Saccharomyces cerevisiae S288C: one gene and its partner. Changing the gene in region 1 together with any one later gene gives a genetic interaction. Each region holds a gene or a part of one and is shown on either strand. Other genes may lie near its edges.

Region 1 (4,928 bases):
TCATCACCATTGAAGTGGACATCTATCAGATGATCGATAACGGGCCAACCGTATGCGTTGGCAAACTTTCTTCGGACTATAATGTTGTTGTGAGCGTCAGGTTTTAAAGCAACGACAACCTTTCTCCATGCCATTCCTTCATGCCACCTTCGAGCAATCGTTTCTTCCAAATTTCGATACTTCGCACGTTCTTTCTTTCCTGCAAAAAAAGCCTGAAGGAGTATATTCTTTTTACCAAAAAAACCGTCTTCGATATCAAATTCGGATTGTGGAATGTCATCCTCATTGTATATCTTATCATGAATAATTACAGGATCTCTTGAATCTGGATCCATTATGTACGCTCTTTCAGGTAAAGGAGGAAGGAGAATTGAGCTTGCTGACTCGAAAAATGATACTTTAGGAATTTCGGAACCATTCTCCGTAGGAAACTTTTGTGGCGCCAGTATACTCAACATTTTAGTCAGAGGCGAAATGAAAGTTTTATTGAAGAAATCTTGATTCACAGGTGTTGAAGCATCATTTATTAGCGGTGATTTTTTGCTGTTCTCCTTTAGTTTCTGTAATTGCTCCAAGATATCATTATAGTCTAGGAACAATAGCGATGCGGTATACAATGGGACAATTCCGTCATTAATAGCGTTCGCATATACTGTCCTCCTTTTGAACCTACGCAAAATCTCTATCAAGGGCAGACCAGATAGCAAGTAGAGAAGCGGTTTGCCTACTTCAACATCATTTTCCAAACCCAAGTCTTGACCTGTTTTTCCAATAACCCCGAATGAAAGTAGTACTTTAATATAGGCGGGATTATCTGTGACTATACCTAAAAGCGGTGAAGCTAAAGTAATAAAATTTATTGGATTCACCTTTTTAAAAAACCAAGGGTAGACTTCATAAATGTACGCTATTGCGAAAGCCTGGATTAGGCCACCCAATGAATGACCTACAAAAGAAATCTTGCGGATGGATTCATCGTACAAATCCTGGATAATATATTCGGCCAAACGAGTACCTAAATACTTAACTCCCTTCTCAGTTTGACAGACATTTCCCCTATAACCTTTCACAACAATTTGTTCGTGGGGATAATTCTTTTGTGCTTTGTATATCTGTTCCATAATATACACTAGATCGGTCGACACATTAGAATGTAAACCATGTGTCAAAACTACAAGATGTTTCTTTTTCTGTGGTGTGGTAATCTGAACGGGAAGATTCCACAAATCCAAGGTAGTTAACCTGTTCACTGTAAGTTTAGGGCTATAAGAACCTAGATGAGATGGCAGATCATGCGGATTTTCTACTGACTCTTTACTAGTTCCAATAGTGACTTCGTAAGTGACGTTCGTATTTGTAGTGAACAATATTTGACTCATCACATCAGCAATCCATACGTATTTCTGTCGTATGTTATGTACTGAAAGTTCAGCCACGAAATCTTGTTGAGTTTGCACATTCGGTTCAAATTTGGGGTAATCAACTGAAGCAACTATTTTTTGGGAATGATGATATTGGGCAGTTTTTACATCGCAATAAAGCATGAATGGACCCATTAGGTACGCAGCTCTATACGATAACGGATTCATATTTCTCACCTTTAACCACAAGGAATTTAAATTCAAATCTGGTGGAATTTCCTCACCGTCATAAAGATGATAAGTAATTACATATCTCTCAAGTTCACCAACCTTCACTGAAGACTTGTAATGAAACAATATTTCATTAGTTGGTGTCAGAGACATCTTGAGCAAAACACGGTTCGTACTTCACTCTCTTTGTGTACTATTCTTACTGAACTGTTGAGGCGGTACAATTTATTTCACAGAGTTTTGCATATTTCGGGCATCTACTATGTGCGTCAGTTCTTACGTGGCGCAGAACAATAGAAAAGAAGATTTACAGAAGTGATAGATACGATATGATATTTACAAGAAACGAAAAGTTACGTTCGTCAGTTACTCTCCAATAATTCTTTTGCCCGTTCGGTGCTATCATATTTAGACATTGCCTCAATAACTTCGTCCAATCGTTCTCCAGATAACACACCTGGCAGGTCCAACAATGTGAACCCGCACCTATGATCAGTGATTCTGTTCTGTGGAAAATTGTATGTTCTAATTTTATCAGACCTATTGGTGCTAGAAACCTGACTCTTTCTTGCTTTTCTTTCTTTTTCCTCCTTTTCCAGCCTTTCCTTCTCTGCAAGTCTCGCTCTTAAGATCGTAAATGCTTTAGCCTTATTCTTGTGTTGAGATCTTTCATCTTGCATGGAAACAACAATTCCAGAGGGGATATGGGTTAATCTGACAGCAGAGTCTGTCGTATTCACATGTTGACCACCTTTCCCGCTTGCACGCATGATGTCAACTCTGATTTCACCAGGTTTAAATGTTCTTTCATAAGCGTCAATAGATTTAGCAGATTCGTCACCAATTTGAGGTAACACAACCACGGCAGCAGTGGATGTGTGCGTCCTTCCTTTAGTCTCCGTACTAGGAATTCTCTGCACCCTGTGAACGCCTGCTTCAAACCTCAAACGATCGTAAGATCCGGCTTCTTCAATGCTCAGAATGGCATCGATAATGCCTGACCCACTTTCGTTTTCATTTTTCGATATAATTCGATACTTCCATTTTCTATAGTTGGCATAGCCAATATACATATCCAATAGATTCTGGGTAAAAATCATGGCTTCAATGCCACCTACACCCGGTCGAAGCTCTAGTAAGCTAGGTTTATCTGCGAACGGATGCGGTGGAAGAAGTTTATTTACCAATCTTGAGGAGGTCGTTTCATATTGGGGGACCAGTTCTGCATATTCTTGTTCAGCCTCCGCCCTTAATGATGGATCAGATACAATCATTTCTTGTAAACTTTTCAATTCATTTAGTTTTTCCTTATACTCAATAAATGTATCAGTGAGCGCTGATAATTTAGCATAATGTTTCTGCTTATTCACGTCAAAATGAATGCCGCAAGAAAGGTCTTTGTCAAGATCTTTTAGTTCAGCTTCATACTTTTCCGCTTGCTTAACAAGTAACGGAGAGAGTTCTGTGTATTGTGTTGGGATGCTGCCGTTGCTCTTAGAGTTAGTCGTTGTTGATGTCAGTCGCACTAGTAACGGCAACTTGTGACCCAAAAAAACACCCTTAAAGATGGACCTCGAGGGGAACTGGAACTTTGAAAGCCACATGCTTGCACCAATGAAATATATTGTTCTGCTCTACGAACTTTTCATTCCTGAGATATTATAAAACATATGATACGCACTATTAACGCTCTGTATTTATCCTCCGAGCGAGCAAATCCTCCTAACAAGTATATGAAATACACAATTACTCAGCCTAGTACAGATGGCACAACGAGAAGTAACACATATATTTTCTGAGAGGCCTTATTGCATAATTATACACATATATTAATATCATGTAGTAAATAAATCACTAATAATTAAAGGCTTTTTCGCGAAATGAAGTAAACTGATAAGTGAAGAATACACAAATTTAAATATCTGCCGCTGGAATATCGCTATAATCGAATGGTAATTTATAATAAATTATTATGTCTCCTGATCTTCTTGAATCCCAGTGCGCAAGAGAGTTGAAGAATCTATTGTATTCAATGTATGATGAATCTTTCAGGAAATCCTTTAGAAATGCGTTTTCCATGTGCTCGAAAACAACCAAATATGTTGGCCATTCGTGGCTGTATGTTTTACCTGGACTCCTTAGATCCTTACGAAAAGGCGGTGGGAAATTTTTGTAAATGAATGCCGATATATCGTCATACAAATGGTCACTTTCATCCATGTAGGTCTCTAGTTTGGAGTAAGCCTCTGGGTCTCCAAGTAAATGCAATGGAGGGTTACAAGTAATCGACCACAGATCTTGAATGTCACTGCGGTGTAAATAGCTTTGACCAGGTGTCGAATGACAGGGCATTATGAATCCCAAACTATCTATTTCTGGCTCTTCATGTAAAAATTTCATAACTTCGATAGATCCAGATTCGTGGAATGTGTCCAAAAGTAATGCGATGAACACCGACACGAATGGAACAAGCCAGAGTAAAGATTTTAGGCCAGATAGTCTTTTCCAATAATCTCTATCAAGTCTCAAAAGGCCAAATGATGATATTAATATGAAAAGTGGCTGTAATGGGAAGATGAACCTAAATTCCTTATGAGGTAACGTAGAGTACACCAACAGATTCAACAAGATAGTGAGTTTCACTTGGAAAAACGGGTTTAAATACTTCTTTGGGAAACTCCTTTTGCTTAGTGGAAAAAATAATCCAAATGCAAAAGCGGGAATACTTGCACCTAATACGATAGGTAAGCTTTGAAAGAAATGAAAATGCCAAGGAGCTACCCCATAAAACTTTGATAATGGTGTTGTGAAATTGAATTTTAGAAATCGGAAAAAGGGAAACGTTACTTTTTCATAAAAATACATGTCGATAATTGCATTTGCAGTAAATACCAGAAAAAAAGACCGTAAAACTTTGGAAAATGTGATGAAAAGTAAATGATACTGCTTTTTGCCTACCAAGTTTAATATTAGGGAAATGCTGGGAATTACCCAAATAAGTCCACTGCTGGGTCTTTGCAAACATGCCAGAAATGCAAAAATAAGCGACTTAGTAAAAGATGACTCTTTTATCATTTGTCCGCCTGTCCAGTCCCAGTAGTAGAGGGCAATAGAAGTTAAAATCATTTCAAAAGAGTTGATGAACGTTCTTGTAATAAAAAAGCAATTAAAAAAATTAGTTAAACTTAAAAGCAGTGCAAACTTCGTAATCTCGGATAAACCGCTGCGTCTCTCCTCTTCCTCCTTCTCGTTTCTCTTATCAAGTGTAAGTAAATAGAGCTTTTGAACAAATCTTACGATATAATATTCCCCTATGGAAGCTAGTACTGCCATAAC
Region 2 (2,495 bases), on another chromosome or scaffold:
GCACCCCAAGGAGCCATGGTCATGGCTCCCACTTTGCAACTACCTCCAGATGTCCAGTCGCGGCTAAATCCCGTACAACTCGAGCTGCTGAATAAACTACATTTGGAAACGAAATTGAATGCAGAATACACGTTTATGTTGGCCGAGCAAAGTAACTGGAACTATGAAGTTGCCATAAAGGGTTTTCAGAGTAGCATGAATGGCATCCCTAGAGAAGCATTTGTGCAGTTCTAATGATATTGTTCCCTGTTTCAGCCGCACAGTATCACAAAAAATATACAGTTTAAGCTACTGTTTTCGTCACGTTCCGAACAGCAGCATGCTTTGTATATTTTGTACTAATTCATAAATAAGTAATTATTTCTATACAACCGTTATATAGAAGATTTTTTCAAAATATAGATATGTATATGTATACATATATCATCGTCCACCACGCCCCTTCCTTTTTCCCTTTCCTTGGTGTTTGCTATTAATAAATAATGTGCGGAGCTCAATCGTCATACGTTCACGCCAGGCTCCGGAATCAGAGTACCAATGCATGGGTACTTATTCTCAAAATGCTCTTGCCACTCATCCAGTGCGTCAATCTGTTCTTTTGTCAGATCATCTAAGGGATCGATAGGCTGATCCCAATCTTTAATAACGTCCAGATCGAAGGAGTTCAATGCAAGACCACGCGACGCATCATGGCCTGCAAAGTTAGTGTATGGCCCGCTTGGACCGTAAAACTGCCTCCCTCTTGTGCAGTCGTATACTTTGCCCCTAATAGCAATAAATATTTTTTCATCGTCGTGGCCGTTAAATTTGGAAAGCGTCCTAGGAAAGAAATTACCCGCTACTACCGGTTCACTACCTTTATTAGAATCGTTTGTGTTTGAGGCCCCGTTACCTGTGAGCCCGGTTGGATCCTCACTTGTTTTAACACCTCCAAATAACAAGTTTTTAATGAAGGACATTTGTTCTCTATAATATTCCGATGTACGTGTGTGTGGCTGATGAGATTTAGACTGGTTAGACTATTTGACGCGTCTATTATAGCTTACTGCAACAAGAAAATGATCGTTGATATATAAACTCTCAGATGTATATATCGTTCTGGAAACATCGAGCATAATACAATACAATTCAACAAAAATGCGAGAAGGCACTGATGTCTTGTCGTTAAAGAACCAAAAACGCGGACACTACGACCGTCTTATTTCCGGTAGAAAAAGGGTACATACAGTTGAAGGAACGAAGAAAATTAAAATTAGAAAAAAAAGTAAAATAAAACAAGGAAGGTAGGGTAATATGGTCTCGTTTCCTTTGTCGCTCCGCAAATAAAGGAGCTTATTCCCGCACGCTCACATGGTAATTTGCGCCAAATCACGGATGTGGAAAACTGATCACGTGCTTCGATCGCCAACTACTGAGCGTCGTCCCACACTGATCTGGCACAGCTTACCTCGCCTTGAAAATTTTAATCTGTCCTGCTCGTTTGTTGTATATTGCTTCTTCTCAGAATATGCCCGCGATAACTGACAAAGAGGGTTCGACGTTTCAGAGATTCTACTCTTGACCACTGTTTCGTGTAGCCGCTCAAGGTTTATTTCTTTCTTCTTTAATGTTCTTGGCACTTAGGCGGCTCCGTCCTCCGTCTGAAATTGCCGATCCTATTATTTGCGGAGGGCTCCTTAGAAGGGCTCCTTAGTAAGCAGTTTGCGTTCCTGATATAACTCCGTTCAGAACAAGGATAAAGTCGCAATAACCATTACTAAGCACAGTGTTGTAAGTAGGACAACTCGAACCTATATAAGGGTTGTGAACTGTGCTTGATTCTTGCCCATCATATGCAAAAAAGTACGTACTTGATATATACAACAACTGTAGTTCAGTATAGCGAAGTTTAAATTTAGAAGATGCCATTTGTAAAAGGTTTTGAGCCGATCTCCCTAAGAGACACAAACCTTTTTGAACCAATTAAGATTGGTAACACTCAGCTTGCACATCGTGCGGTTATGCCCCCATTGACCAGAATGAGGGCCACTCACCCCGGAAATATTCCAAATAAGGAGTGGGCTGCTGTGTATTATGGTCAGCGTGCTCAAAGACCTGGTACCATGATCATCACGGAAGGTACGTTTATTTCCCCTCAAGCCGGCGGCTATGACAACGCCCCTGGGATTTGGTCTGATGAGCAGGTCGCTGAGTGGAAGAATATCTTTTTAGCCATCCATGATTGTCAGTCGTTCGCGTGGGTACAACTTTGGTCTTTAGGCTGGGCATCCTTCCCAGACGTATTGGCAAGAGACGGGTTACGCTATGACTGTGCATCTGACAGAGTGTATATGAATGCTACGTTACAAGAAAAGGCCAAAGATGCGAATAATCTCGAACATAGTTTGACTAAAGACGACATTAAACAGTATATCAAGGATTACATCCATGCGGCTAAGAATTCTATCGCGGCTGGCGCCGATGGTGTAGAAATTCATAGCGCCAATGGGTACTTG

What was found. Genes that interact genetically often act in the same process or in processes that back each other up.
Region 2: mutations in MRF1 (region 1) and DAP1 together harm fitness more than expected from each alone (negative genetic interaction), as found in Saccharomyces cerevisiae (one large-scale study listed by BioGRID).

The regions. Positions count from the first base shown.
Region 1 is NC_001139.9:232,763-237,690, forward strand, and holds MRF1 (Mrf1p), read right to left. Parts: upstream 3,197-4,928; coding exon 1,955-3,196; downstream 1-1,954. Other genes in the region: putative lipase ROG1, read right to left, coding at 1-1,745; GPI10 (putative glycosylphosphatidylinositol-alpha 1,2 mannosyltransferase), read right to left, coding at 3,507-4,928. UniProt on the Saccharomyces cerevisiae protein: Mitochondrial peptide chain release factor that directs the termination of translation in response to the peptide chain termination codons UAA and UAG.
Region 2 is NC_001148.4:226,778-229,272, reverse strand, and holds DAP1 (Dap1p), read right to left. Parts: upstream 960-2,495; coding exon 501-959; downstream 1-500. Other genes in the region: MEX67 (Mex67p), read left to right, coding at 1-234; OYE3 (NADPH dehydrogenase), read left to right, coding at 1,902-2,495.